2 linked regions of the Mus musculus genome follow. The protein of the gene in region 1 interacts with the protein of each later gene in a biochemical or structural test. Links are inferred from orthologs where the notes say so. Each region holds a gene or a part of one and is shown in the gene's direction. Other genes may lie near its edges.

Region 1 (7,252 bases):
CCACGAGGCCCTCCTGTTAGTGGGGCTGAGCCATCTCGGGCAGTTGGCACTGTCAAAGTGTACCTGCCTAACAAGCAACGCACAGTGGTGAGTCACTCAGGCAGTACTGGCAGGGGTTCCAGATAGTCGTAGTGTGGGATCAGAAGGGTGGCGAGGGTTAGGGAATGAATGCTGCAGAGGGAAGGAATAATTGGCTAGGGTACCTATTGGATACTGAAGACCCCAATCTCTACACACACACACACACAGGTGACTGTCCGGGAAGGCATGAGTGTCTATGACTCTTTGGACAAGGCCCTGAAGGTGCGGGGTCTCAACCAGGACTGCTGTGTGGTCTACAGGCTCATCAAAGGGTAAGTATGGAAACCCCATGCCATTCACTGGGTCCCTACACACCTCCTTTCTTCAGTGCCATCTTATTCCTCCTCATTTGTCTTGGAGTCTTCCACTATCTGAGGTAACCCAGGTGACATCTTTCGTTTCCCTTCATTGACCATTGGAAGGTCTGCAATTCACTATGCACTCAGCCCTCAAGTCCTCAGTCTGTCACCTTCCAGAGTTCATCTGTTTTGTTCTTTCACCATTTCTTGAAGTCACAAGCTCTTTCTTTTCTCATGGTCCCCATACACCATGGAGTTGGTGGTCTTCATTGACCTTTCTATTCTTTGTTTGTTTGTTTGTTTGTTTTGTTTGTTTTTTTTTTTTTTTTTTTTTGAGACAGGGTTTCTCTGTATAGCCCTGGCTGTCCTGGAACTCACTTTGTAGACCAGGCTGGCCTCGAACTCAGAAATCCACTTGCCTCTGCCTCCCGAGTGCTGGGATTAAAGGTGTGCGCCACCACGCCTGCCTGACCTTTCTATTCTTGTGTTCCTTGGTGCCTTAATGTTTTGGATGGAGTTCCTGTTTTCATTTTACCTGTTTCAGTGTCTCAGGTGCTGGCTTACTACGCCTGAGATGTAGTTTCATTTGCCTCTCACCACATGCTTAAGATCATGGATTAAATCTGGGAGTGGTGGGTATACCTGTTAGCCTAGCGCTTGGGCAATTCACCTAATTGCTTGAGCCTGTTTCCTCATGTGTAAAGTGGGAGTAAAAATAGTGACTAACTTTATTTTTTATTTGAAATGTTACCCTTTTTATGTGTATGAGTGTTTTGACTGCATGCGTGTGCACTGTGTGTGTTCCTCACGCCTATGGAGGCCAGAAGAAGGTTGAAGATCCCACCGGAGTTAAGGATGGTTATGAGCCACGGTGTGAGTGCTGGGAACTGAACCCAGGTCCTCTGAAAGAAAAGCAAGTATTCTTAACTGCTGAGCCATCATCTCTCCTGTCCAAAAGTGACTAACGTAGTGAGAATTAAACATGTGGGAGAGTGGTTCGTGGATGGGACTGAGAGGAACTTTGGGAACTTCCCTGTCTACTGTGGTCCCAGTGTATCATCGCTCTCATTCTCTCCCATACTTCTTGCAGAAGAAAGACAGTCACTGCCTGGGACACAGCCATTGCGCCTCTGGATGGTGAGGAGCTCATTGTGGAGGTCCTAGAAGATGTGCCACTGACCATGCACAATTTTGTAAGTCTAATGGGGATGGTGGGGGAGGCCACAGTGTGGACAGAGAGGGCCTTCAGTCGGGCCTGCACTTCCCTGCTTTGTGGCTGCAGGTACGGAAGACATTCTTCAGCCTGGCCTTCTGTGACTTCTGCCTTAAGTTTCTGTTCCATGGATTCCGCTGCCAGACCTGTGGCTACAAGTTCCACCAGCATTGTTCCTCCAAGGTCCCCACCGTCTGCGTTGACATGAGTACCAACCGCCGACAGTGAGCCCAGCCTGGGGTGGCTTGAGGGGTGGGGAGGACGGAAGCCCCAGCACGAGGGCTTACAGTCAGCCAAGCTATACTCACAGCCTTCTTGTTTTACACCTTTATGCCCTCAAGGTTCTACCACAGCATCCAGGATCTGTCTGGAGGCTCCAGGCAGCAGGAGGCTCCCTCAAATCTCTCTGTGAATGAGCTGCTAACCCCCCAGGGTCCCAGGTAGGGATGTCGTAGATGAAAGGCCAGGGGGCCAGTGAAAGAAGGATTGGAGGACCCTGAGAGATTATACTTTCGTTTATTTGTTTACGTGATAAATACTATTGAGTACCTACAAGTGTTGAATATGGGCATGGGATTGTGGGATCATTGGTAAGGCACCCAGTCACTCCAGGTTTCATTTTTTTCATCTGGGAAGAGGGGATGAGATTTTCCCTAGTGGGTTCTGAAGAGGATTAAGGGTTGAGATATTTGCAATGCTTAAAGCAAGATCTGATACAGAGTAAATAACAAGTGTTATTCATTACAAGTGTATATATAAAATCATCTAGTTTGTTCATTTCTTCCAGTATAACCACACCCCAGTCTTTTCTCTTTGAAATAAATGTTACTGTATCAGAAAGTACTTTTATTTCACTTATGTTGGATATGATAGCATATAGTTTTGCATAATATATAAAAAGTAAGGTTAATGTATTATTATTTGTAGTTATGAGTGTATGTGTGTTGATTTACCTGTGAATTTAATCTCAGGATGGTGAAAGTAACAGAAGAATGTTTTTCTGTAAGGTATAATTCATGGGAGGTGGAGGCAAGACGATCAATAGTTCAAGGCTACCCTCCACTAAGTAGCAAGTTCAAGGCCAGCCTGGGCTACATGAGACTGTCTTAAAACAGTAAAAAAGGTGTTTTGTAACGTGATATATGTATAATCGTTATATGATGTGTGTAATGTGTATTACATAATATAATATGTGTATTGAAAACGTTGCCATTTTAATATAGGTAATGCTCATTATTATAAAATAAATAATATATTTGAAAAATACATGTCATTATGATATGTAATAAAAAGTCATATCTTACCCTTTCTCCAACTATCTTTGTCCTTCATTGTTCCTTCTTTAGACCTTTCTCCCAATATTACCCTCTCTGAGAACCCACTCCTGACTCCCCCAGGGACACTTTCTACCTCCTTCATTTGATTTTCCTCTTTTTGTGCCTATCACTGACAGGCACATTATATATTTGCTTTTTTATTCTTCTGCCTCTGCTAAAAACTCTACAAGGGCAAGAGCTTTTTATTTATGGTATCCACAGTTTGATCTCCTCTGTTTCGAGTTGCATCTGGCACACAGGAGGCACTCAGTAAATGTTTCTTGGGCAGATGATTACTGGTCTGACCAACAGACATGTACTGTTTGAGTGAACGCACATTCAGGGTGGTGGAGTTGGGCTTTCTTTGCTTTTTAGTTCCTTCTGCAGCGATTTCATAGCCTTTTCTCTATTAGCCCCTTTACCCAGCAACGTGACCAGGAGCACTTCTCATTCCCTGCCCCTGCCAATCCCCCACTGCAGCGCATCCGCTCCACATCTACTCCTAACGTCCACATGGTCAGCACCACAGCTCCCATGGACTCCAGCCTCATGCAGGTGGGTGTCAAGGAGGTGACAGTGGGGAGCATGGAGCATTGCTTAGAGCCATTACTATTGCCATATCCTCACTTTGACTTCTGCTCCCACCTCCTTCCAGTTTACTGCTCAGAGCTTCAGCACCGATGGTGAGAGAACCCCCACCCCTTTCTGCACCCTGAGCTCTCTGCCCCACCACCCCACTTGCCTCCACTCACAGCATTCTGTACAACCACAGCTGCTGGTAGAGGTGGTGATGGAGCCCCTCGGGGTAGCCCTAGCCCAGCTAGTGTGTCTTCAGGGAGGAAGTCCCCACATTCCAAGTTACCTTCAGAACAGCGGGAGCGGAAGTCCTTGGCAGATGAAAAGAAAAAAGTGGTATGCCATAGGAAATCCTTGGGGGCCACCATAGCCTGAGTGCTATGACGGAGGGTTGTGGGTAGGCCCCTCTGATGCCACCCATCTGGCCCACAGAAGAACCTGGGGTACCGGGACTCAGGCTATTACTGGGAGGTGCCACCCAGTGAGGTACAGCTGTTGAAGAGGATCGGGACAGGCTCTTTTGGCACTGTGTTTCGGGGGCGTTGGCATGGCGATGTAGCTGTGAAAGTGCTCAAGGTGGCCCAACCTACCGCTGAGCAGGCCCAGGCCTTCAAGAATGAGATGCAGGTGCTCAGGTGAGGTTGCTGTGAATGTAAGTGGGACAGGATGGTGGCAGGCAGCATTTAGTGTTTGGGAAAAAGCCATGCTGGGGTACTTCCTGGGTGTGTACTCTATTTGTGCCATGTTGGAAGTATAATGAGGCTCAATTTCTCTCCAAGAGATGACCCTTTCTCCTCTGAGCAATGGGCTGCAGATGAGGACAATGATGATGGTCTTTCTTTGGATGAACATTGCTATTTGCTGGCTGGGAACTAGATCTAGCCATAGGACCTTCCCATGATTATTTAACACATGAAGATTTTATGTAATTCCAGCTCCAGGAGTGCTCATATCCGTCCTTCCTTTTGCTGAGTCACTGCTATTATACTCATTGTGTTGTGGGCTTGTTGTTAATCATAATTTTATACTTAAAATTTTCTTTGATGCAAACAACAATATTAATTATAGTCATATTCTATATTCCCGTTGTGTAGTTATTATAATTGATGTAATTAAGGTATGATCAACACTATTAATTCATTCACACTGAAAAAACCAGGGTGGCACCATTTTAGCCACTACAGTTACTATGTAGCATAGTACTTTGTGCCTTTATTTTATATAAGCAAGGTTGTATAGGGTGTGTGTGTGTGTGTGTAACCATATTAAGCACATGTAATACCACTGAGCTATACTCCCTGTTATCAGGAAGGTATAATTTCTGACAATCTGAGGATGCATATATGGGCTTCCCCCCTCTTATCAGATAAACACAATGGATGCCACAATAAGAAAACTTATTCTCAGCTCATCTCTGTAAAGTTTGATGATTTGAGTATGCACTAATTTGCATTCTATTTATCTACTGGCTTCCCACTATTAAGAATCTTTATGCTGCTGAGGTCACTTAGCACCAAGACTGACAACCTGAGTCCATTCAGTCCCTGGGACCTATATGGTAGAAAAGAACTGGCTCCTGAAAGTTGTCCTCTGTTCTCCACATGTACACTGTGGCACACATGCTCTATATACACAGATGATCACAGACAAAGGAATCTTCATATTTGCTGGGAAGATAGCTCCATCAGTAAAGTGCTTAATATGTTTGTGATTGAGTTTAGATTCCCATCACCCACATAAAAAGTAAAAAGCTGGGTGCAGTGGTGCACACCTGTAATCCTAGCACTGGGAAAGCAGAGACAAGAGTGGATTACTGGTGCTTAGCCAGTCTAGGCAGTTGGTGAGGTCTAGGTTTAGTTAGAGATTCGGTCTCCAAAAATGAGGTGGAGCCGGGCGTGGTGGTGCACACCTTTAATCCCAGCACTTGGGAGGCAGAGACAGGCGGATTTCTGAGTTCGAGGCCAGCCTGGTCTACAAAGTGAGTTCCAGGATAGCCAGGGCTACACAGAGAAACCCTGTCTCGAAAAACCAAAAAAAAAAAAAAAAAAAAAAAAAAAAAAAAAAAAACCCAAAGAGGTGGAACACAATCAAGGGAGATAGATAATCCAACATCAACCTCTGGCTTCTCCACCCATGCACATGCACAGTCATGTATGTGTGCCACATACAAAACAATGTGGAGAGTGATTGAAGAATACACCTGACATTGACCTCTGGTCTCCGTTTGTGTGCACAGATGTACATGTACACGCATACCTGTATATTGCCTCTGTCTTTGTCTGTCTCTGTTTCTCTCTTATACACACGCACACGCACACACACACACAAATCCCTGTGTTGAGAATGTTGGTGCATGCCTGTAATCTTAGTACTTGGGAGAAATCCCTGTGTTGAGAATGATGGTGCATGCCTGTAATCTTAGTACTTGGGAGGCTGAGGCAGAAGGAACAACAGTTTGAGACCAGAACTGGTGTGATAATGTAGTAAAGTGCTTATCATGTAAGCAAGAAGACCTATGTTTGATCTCTAGCACCCATGTAAAAGGCTGGGTGTGGCAGCACAGGCTTACAAGCTCAGCACTGGAGAAACACAGATAGGAAGATTCCAGAGGTTCATCAGTCTAGACTAATTGGCATGTCCCAGGTCCCAGTGAAAAATCTCCTGCCTCAAAACCAGTTTATAAAATAATGCATGAACAACTCGAGTAGGTCCTGAAAACAACATCCTAGGTTGACCTCTGGCCTCCACTTAAGTCTTCATACACACGTACTAACACATACATGTATACTTTCACACACAGAAATACATAGATTGTTCAAAAAATCTGGAGTATGTGATGAAACCTAGTCTCAAAAAAAAATTTTTTTTGTGGTAGTACACATGTCTATACTCTTAGCACTTGGTAGGCTGAGGATCAGGAATTTGAAGCCAGCCTGCGATACATTAAACCCTGTTTCAAAAACCAAAACTAGAGCTGGGCGTTGGTGGTGCACACCTTTAATCCCAGTACTCGGGAGGCAGAGGCAGGCGGATTTCTGAGTTTGAGGCCAGCCTGGTCTACAGAGTGAGTTCCAGGACAGCCAGGACTACACAGAGAAACCCTGTCTCGAAACAACAACAACAAAAACCAAACCCCAAAAAACCCCCTAGTCCTTGTGTGTAAGTATGTATCCTCAGTGGTAGAGCATGTGCTTAGCATATGAAAGGTTATGTTCCAGCTCAAGTATCAAAACAAGAAGGGAATGTCCTGGTGCTCTGTTGTCTTCTGTGATCTAAATATTATCCCTGTTGTTTGCATTTGCGTACTCAAACAGTGGTTAATACTTAAGAATGTGGTTTTCTCATAAACTATATTAAAGAGGTTTGCATGTGACAGTTTCCATGAAGTAGACTCAGGTACCCAGAAACAAACTGGAAGTTTCAGAATGTTTACTGTTTGTCCAGCTGTTTTAAGGACCGCTCAGACCATTTGTTCACCCTTTGTGACATCCTCAGAAAGCCGCTGCTGTAATGATAGCAGTTGTATGGTTTGGGAACAAGAGGACCAAAGTGGTTAGAAGTCCTCTTCAAGGTTGTACAATGAGTGACTGGTAAAGGTTTGGGTTGTAACATGGTTTCGGACTCTAGATTCTTTGCCTCTAAGCCTCTCAGTGATTAGTAAACTGTCATCCTCCCATGTCACACATGTCTCTATGTCTTGAGCCTCTCTCTCTCAGTATTGATAAAGAAGGTTGGCTTCCTACTTTGTCATCTGTAACATAGCCACT
Region 2 (7,773 bases), on another chromosome or scaffold:
GTGTACGCGCACACACACATGCAAATGTACATATGTGGATGTCTGAGCTCAACTTTAAATATCTTTCTTCAATCATTTCCCTTTCTTTCCTTTTGATACAGTTATGGTTAGCTTCAGTTGTCATTTGACAGATTTGGGGGAAAAGGAATCAGACTGGCCTGTGGGCATCTTCTGTAGACCAATGTAACATAGGTGGGCCCAGCCCACTGCGGGCAGTGCCAGCCCTGGACAGGTGGCCCTGGGTTTTATAAGAAAGCTAGCTGAGCAGGAGCCAGGCAAACAAGCCAGTGGGCAGTAGTATTCCACAGTCTCTGCTTCAACCTCTTGCCTTGAGTTCCTGCCTTGGCTTCCAGTGGTAAACTGTAACTGTAAGCTAAAATAACCCCCTTCCTCTCCAAGTTGCTTTTGGTCATGGTCTGTCATCACGAGTACAGAAGAGCAAATTAGACACAGGAGAATCTGAAACTCATTGATTCAGCTGGCCTGGCTGGCCAGTAAGCTTCCAGAATGATATTCTCTCTCTCTCTCTCTCTCTCTCTCTCTCTCTCTCTCTCTCTTCTCCTGACCTCCACTAGGGATTGGAGCCACACACTAGCACCCGGGCATTTTCCATAGGTTCTGGGGAATCAAAAGTCAGGGGTCCCCGCTTGCTCTGGCAGGCACTTTACTGAGCCAGCCATCTCTCCAGCCCTCCGATTGTTTTATTAGAGCTACCCTGTAACTTGCCTCTCTCCCAGCGGTGTGGAGAGAACAGATGACATCAGATAATGTATGTAAAGCACTTTAGAAATTACAGCATGCCATATAAATGCCAGGGGTAATTAAGAGACTATTATGGAGTGCATGGATACACGTGTTTATTTCAAGCACTTTAGCCTTTTAGCAAATGTGAAGGATATGGCCAGAACCCTTGTCAAAGTCCCAAATTAGATACTATCAACAGTATATAATTTCTCCCATAAAACACCACAATGTGTCACTAAAAAAAAAAAGCTAAATGGCCCTTTAAAATAGTTAATGATTCTATAAACACCAGCATCAAGCTATTTATAAAGTTATTTGTAAATGTCTGGAGCATTTGCCGAAAACTGTGAATTAATTTAGGTTTTTAAAACTGAATAAGGTTTGAACTCTAGTCCATGGGTTCAGATTCCCCCATTTTCTGTCTTAGAAACATATTCTTAGGTGTCATGGCATGCATTTAGGAAGCAAAGGCGGGAAGATCAGGAGTTTAAAGTCATCCTTGGCTGTAATTTTCCCAGCCTGAGATAAATGAGACCTCTCTTAAAAGACAATAAACCGTGAGCTGGGGTGATCCCTTAGTGGGTACAGCATTGGCTTCAAAGGAGTGAGGACCTGTGTTCAGATTCGCTAGAATCCACACACAGCCAGACGCAGTAGCAGGCATCTGTACTCCAAGCAAGATGGGAAGTAGAGATGGGCTATCTTCAGTTTCTGAGCCAGCTACCCCAGCATATGCAATGGCAAACAATAAGAAACCCTGCCTCACACAAGGTGGAAGGCAAGGGCCAACACCAAAGGTTGTCTTCTGTTTGTAATAGAAAGTGGGATATGGAACAGGTACACATATTGAAAAAAAACATTTTGAGACAGAGTCAAGCTTTAGTCCAGGCTGGCCTCAAATTCCATATTTTCCTGTCTCGGGCTCTCTCAATACTGGGATTATATCACACAAGCTTGACCTCCTCTTGCAACATCATCTCTAGCCAAGATGGTGAGAGAGTTACTATGTAGCCCTGGCTGGCTTCAAACTCATCTCAATTCTCTTGCTTCTGTAATGATTCTCCATGCAGCACCAACACCCTTCAGACACCACACTTCAGACCACTATTCCACATCAAACTGCCTGAGTGATTATGACAAACACAGATGTGTGTGTGCGCGCTCGTGCATGTGTGTGCAAGTGTGTGTGTGTGTGTGTGTGTGTGTGCGCGCGCCAGTGCACATACATACAAAGGCCAAGAAGTCGCTCAACTGCCTCCCCTCTGTAACGTTTCAAACAGCTTCTCTCACTGAACCTTAAGCTTATCATTGGGGCTAGGATAGCTGCACAGCAAGTTACTGGAATTGGTCTTATCTTGGGTTTTGAGAGGTGGGGTTACAGGCACAACTGGAAATTTGAACTCATGTCCTCACACTTTCACAGTTCTTTCCCACTGAACCATCTCCCCTTAATCATATTTTAAGAAAGTGCCTAGGGAGACCCATACAATAATTTTGTTTGTTTGTTTTCTCCTTATTTGGGGCCCATGTAACACTCAAAGCAGCTTTTGTTTGAAAATGATGACCCACCCTGCTTCAATGTTTTTGGAAGGAAAACGACTGAGCTTTCTCCCTAAACTTAAGAGCAGGAGGACCTCATCGCTATTTCCCAACTTTGCAGCCACATCTTGGGCTCACAGCCGGACCAACCTGGGAATCAAGGCAGAGAGTCACTCTGTACACCTGGCACTTTTGGCCTCGCCCCATTTCCCACAACTTCCAATCCCAAGCGTAGTTATTGTGACTGACAAACGATCAGAGCACTTCTAATTGGTTGCGAAGGGCTTCAGCTCCTCCTCCTCAATGGCCCCACCTCCCTTTCATTCTGAAAGAAAGAAGTTTGCTCAGCAGTCCAATAAGAAGCTCCCTCATCGAAAAGATCCCGCCTTTTTCGGCACCGGCTCCGCCCCAAGGACCACAGGAGTGCCCGCCTCCTCCAAGGCACGCTTGTCCAGTAAAAAAGCGCGCTGCCCAAGATAGAAGACTTCCCAACCAATAAAAGAGTTTCTGCGCGGCGCCGCCCCGCCCTCCGCGCCTTCCCCTCCGCCCCTCAGCCGGCCCGGCGAGTGAGGGCCTCGGGGCGGCGGCGGCGGACGCAGCCTGAGGGAGCGGCGGGCGGGGCGGCGCCTGGCCCGGCAGGGCCGCGCCGGCTGAGGGGCGTCCATGGCGCGCGGGCCCCAGCGGGGCGCGGCCGCGGCCTGAGGGCGGCCATGTCCGGGGTGGTGCGGACCCTTAGCCGCTGCTTGCTGCCGGCCGAGGCCGGAGCCCGCGAGCGCAGGGCGGGCGCGGCGCGCGACGCGGAGCGCGAGGCCCGACGGCGCAGCCGCGACATCGACGCGCTGCTGGCCCGCGAGCGGCGCGCGGTGCGGCGGCTGGTCAAGATCCTGCTGCTGGGCGCCGGCGAGAGCGGCAAGTCCACCTTCCTCAAGCAGATGCGCATCATCCACGGCCGGGAGTTCGACCAGAAGGCGCTGCTGGAGTTCCGCGACACCATCTTCGACAACATCCTTAAGGTGACGCGCGGCCCCGCCCACACACACCTGGTCCAGGTGGCGCGCGGGCCCCGCCCCCTTTGTTCTCCACGGACCCGCGACCCTGCCACCCGGCGCCCCTCCCTTCCAATAGGGACCTCAAGCAATGCAGTTGGGGTTACTCCCGTGACCTCCCAGGGGCGCGATAGATTTGCAGAGCCCTGGACGCTTGGGGACCGTGGGAATGCAAGCTGGACCACTCTCAGGGACTTGGGTTACAAATAGGGTGTTAGGGCTGGACACGTGGATTGAGGGTCGCCAACTCTCCCTGTCCCTCCAGCATGCAAAGTTTATAGTGTAGGTTGGAGGACATCAGCCTTCGTTTTTTATTTGTAAATGAGAATTGACCATTTTATTCCCCCCACCACACACACACACACACATTATATCATATACCCCAGACTGGCCTTGAACTCACTCTGTAGCTAAGAATGACCTTGAACTCCTGATCCTTTCTCTCCTCAACTTCTCAAATCCTGGAATTACAGAGGAGGAGGGCGCTGTGTCACCATACTTTGTTCGTGTAGTGCTGGGATTGAATCCAGAACTTCATGCGTGCTAGGGAGGACATTACTAACTAGACTAAGTTGCCAGTGTTTGTATTTTTGAGATAGGGAGTCATGAAGCCCAGGCTGGCCTTGCCATGTAGACAAGGCTGACCTTAAACTCCTTATCCTTCTGACCCGTCTCCCCAGTGGTAGGATTACAGGCATGTGCCACCCATACTTTGTTCTTTAAACCTTTTAGTATGGTGATTTAACATACACACCAAGTTAGGTGAGATGTTAGAAGGAGCTTCGAGACACCCACTACCCAGCATTGAAACAAGGGTCAGTTCTGTGCCAATCGTGTTCGTCCCTAACCACCTCCCTACCTGTACCCCCGGCCTCACCCCGACCCCAGTCTCCAAGTTAATCCAAGATATATAGTTGTATTAGAAAACATCTTGGTATGTGACACTAAACCTGCTTTAAAAGCATATGTACAGGACCATTATAGAACTAAAAAAAGGAAGAGGAAAAAAAAAATTAGACTAGGAATATGGTTCAGTGGGAAAGCACCAGTCTAGCAAGTACAAGCCCAAGGCGTCCAACCTCTACACTGCAAAACACAAAAACAAAGAACCTTCCAGAAGCCTTCTCATGTCATTCAGGGTCCACGTGTCCTTCATTGTTGCATAGTTGTTTTGTCTGTTTGAACTAGATGCAATAATCCTCATGTGGTAATGAACTCAAGGTCCTGTCCCTTGTGCCTTTTATATTCTGTGCCGTATATGTGAAAGAAACAGTCATGTTGACAGAGTCTAGGATCAGTGTTAATACAGTGAGTCTTTGCAGAAGGGTCAAAAAGAAAGTTGTGGAGAACTGGGCCTGTAGCTCTGTAAGTCTCTTCCAATGTGCATAAGGCCCTGGGTTGAGTGTGGGATAAACTGGTCAAGGTAGCATTCTCCTGCATTTTGAGATTCTCCTGCACTGTGGAGGTAGAGGCAGGAGGATTTAAGTTCAAGGCTTAGCTGCATGGACGGTTTGAGGCTAGCCAGGACTATGTGAGAGCCTGTCTCAACATTGGAATAAGATGTAGCAAAAGTCTAGACACAGAGTCTATTCTGCACCTAGATTAGCTTCCTCGTCAAGTTTCTCATCTCTCTTTTTCTTCTTGATTCTTTCCAAGCCCCTGGTTTTTTGGGGGGTGGGGGGACAGGTCTGAGGAACACGGTTTCAAGCAGGTAGAGAGGTTTGTCTTATCAGAAAAGCTACCCTCGAAACTAGATTTTTACAGGGCCTTGGTTTTTTTTTTTTAAGTTAGCAAGGGGACGCAGAAGCCCATCTGGGACACGTCTTTCAGTTCGGCCTTGAGAAACCTTGGTGTAGGGCGGTTGGGCTGGGATCCTGGGAGCCAGACTTCCGGGCCAACACTCCCACACTCAACATGTTTGTTACTAAATGTTTCATTTTAATACAAGTAGCTCCTCTGGGTTCAAGATGGGGAAAAAATCTTATGAAGGAAAAATCACACACTTTTCACCTTCCAGAGAGAGCCTCGGGGAAGCAAGGGGTTCTGGCCAAGTGCTTCATAAACATTAATGCAAACCTTAAAGGGATGGGTATATTGTTCAGAATTCCCGGCATCTTCAAGGATTTTGTAAAACTTGACTGTCACTCAAGGCCTGTTTTCCAGCATCTCCTTTAAGGAGCCTGGTTTTATTTTTGCTGCTTTTCTGAACCCCAGAGCCAGGTAGGCTTGGAGGGCTCAGTTTCTTTCAGCTTGGGAGGCAGAAAAACTATTTGGGAACATAGATCTCAAGTCTACTTTGCTCTATTAAGTGCGTTTTAGAGAAGTCAGTCTCCTTCCTGTGCTCATCAGCATCCCCTTTTCCTGGCTTCCTGTGCTCATCAGCATCCCCTTTTCCTGGCTTCCTCTATGATTTTGTTGAAAATATCGTCTGGGTCTTGTAGTTGGAAATCTTCTCCTTCTGTTCCTATTATTCTTAAATTTGGTCCTTTCATCCTGTCCCAGATTTCTTGGGTGTTTTGTGCCATGAACTTTTTAGATTTAGCTTGCTTTTTTTGACATAAAACCTCTTCCTGAGTCCTTCCATCTCCAGGACTCCCTCAGTTTGTGTTGTCTTTATTGCTTCTAGTCCCATTCTCAGGTCTTGGACAGTTTTATTCGTTTCCTTCACCGGTTTGATTGTATTCTCCTTAAGGGATTTATATATCTCCTCTCTATAGGCCTCTATCATCTTTATAAGATTGGATTTAAGGTCATCTTGTACTTTGGCTATGTTAGGATATCCAGGGCTTGCTGTAGCAGGGTAACTGGTCTCTGGTGATGCCATGTTGCCTGGCTCTTGTTGATTGTGTTCTTACACTGCCCCTTAGCTATTGTCCCTCTTGTTGTCTGGATGTTCTCAATGTCAGCAGGACTCCTGGGGAGGCAGGCAGAGCCTGAGAGTGGATCAGTGGATCGCAGGAAACAGGACACTGCTCACCTCTGCTGGCTGTGCCCCAGTGGACCTGGCAGGCTGGGGATTAGTGGGGAGGGTTATAAGCTGGATGTTCCTGCCCCTTACTCCCCCCTCAGACCTTGGGGTGGGAGCAGAACAGCAGGGAAAACCATGGGCCAACAATCTTTTACTGGCTTCCTTAGCAACAGAAGCAGGACTTGTTAATAAGGACTCTGCTTGTTTGGTTTGATACAATGCCTTTTTTTAAAACTGGATTCATTTTTTTTTTTTTTTAGTAATAATTTAAAATTTTTAGTCCTTTACAATTTCATACATGTATAAGATGTCTTTTGGTTATTTTTAGACCCTATCACTCTCTTCCATTCCCCTCCTAGTCCCACTGAGCCCCTTCTAACAAATCCCTCTTCTACTTCCACACCATCTTTTCTTCCCAACTATTTTACTCATTATTGAACATGTTTCATCTGCTGTAATTAATTAGAATTTAATTTTTCAACCTTAAACCCCTCCCACTCCTCTTCCCATCCTGGCATTATCACTCAGTTTGCCCAATTCTCTCATTTTGTCAGCTCAGGAATATTGGTTCAGTGGGTAAGGGCACTTGTTTTGCAAGCAGGGGTCCTGAATTCAAATCCCAAACACCCATGTAAAAAGCTGGGCAGGGCCTGTGAACCCCAGCATTGAGGCACCAGAAACAGATGTGGCTTGCTTGACAGCCAGACTGGCAGGAATGAGCTTCCAGTATACTGGAGACTCTTTCTTATGGCAATCAGGCAGAAAGTGATAGAGGAAGACACCTGATGTCTTGTTCTGGCCTCTGTGTGCACCCCACATACTCATGTGTGTGCACTACACACCACACATAATATTCTATAAATGGAATTTGCGCAGTGTGAGCTTTTGGAGTTGACTTTTATCAGAACATTTCTGTGGCAATCCCTGTGTAAGCAACTGCACATGGCAGTAATTCCAGCCTTATTGCTGAGTAATGGTCCACCTTTCCGTTCACCTGGTGAGGGGTGTCTGGGCTCTTCCCACCTTCTGGTTAGTATAAATAGGCCTTCTGAAAACATTCATGTGCATTCTTTTAGTTTGGTTGGTCGATTGATTAGTCATGACACAGTCTCATGTAGCCTAGGCTAGCCTCAAACTTAGCATGTTACTGAGGCTGGCATTGAACTGACCTTCCTGATTCTCCCTTCCAAGTGCTGGGATGACAGGCGTGGACTGCCATGTTCCATCTACATTTTTTTGTCCATGTCTATGTATTCATGTGTCTGGGATGAATATTCAACAGTGTGGTAACCAGGTCATACTGTAGTGGTGTGTTCGTTCTGATAAGAAGCTGCCTAGCTGTTTCCCAAAGGAGCTTGTGCATCCCTTGTCAGTCTCTCTGCATCCCTGATGGCATTAGGCCTTAATCACTGTCTTCCTTCAGCTGTTCTTAGAGGTGTATGTTGTGTTTTCTTGCAATGTTAATTTCCATTTCCC

The links. The genes of interacting proteins can lie anywhere in the genome.
Region 2: the proteins of Araf (region 1) and Gna12 form a complex in vitro, tested with the Homo sapiens proteins (2 studies listed by BioGRID). The link is inferred for Mus musculus from reciprocal best matches to the Homo sapiens genes ARAF and GNA12.

Annotation. Positions count from the first base shown.
Region 1 is NC_000086.7:20,849,996-20,857,247, forward strand, and holds part of Araf (serine/threonine-protein kinase A-Raf), read left to right. Parts: coding exon 1-87; intron 88-249; coding exon 250-353; intron 354-1,470; coding exon 1,471-1,573; intron 1,574-1,662; coding exon 1,663-1,817; intron 1,818-1,934; coding exon 1,935-2,033; coding exon of another isoform or gene 2,034-2,037; exon of another isoform or gene 2,038-2,910; intron 2,911-3,322; coding exon 3,323-3,464; intron 3,465-3,564; coding exon 3,565-3,592; intron 3,593-3,681; coding exon 3,682-3,821; intron 3,822-3,917; coding exon 3,918-4,120; intron 4,121-7,252. UniProt on the Homo sapiens protein: Involved in the transduction of mitogenic signals from the cell membrane to the nucleus. May also regulate the TOR signaling cascade. Phosphorylates PFKFB2.
Region 2 is NC_000071.6:140,825,517-140,833,289, reverse strand, and holds the start of Gna12 (guanine nucleotide-binding protein subunit alpha-12), read left to right. Parts: upstream 1-2,858; 5' UTR 2,859-2,993; coding exon 2,994-3,296; intron 3,297-7,773. UniProt on the Homo sapiens protein: Guanine nucleotide-binding proteins (G proteins) are involved as modulators or transducers in various transmembrane signaling systems. Activates effector molecule RhoA by binding and activating RhoGEFs (ARHGEF12/LARG).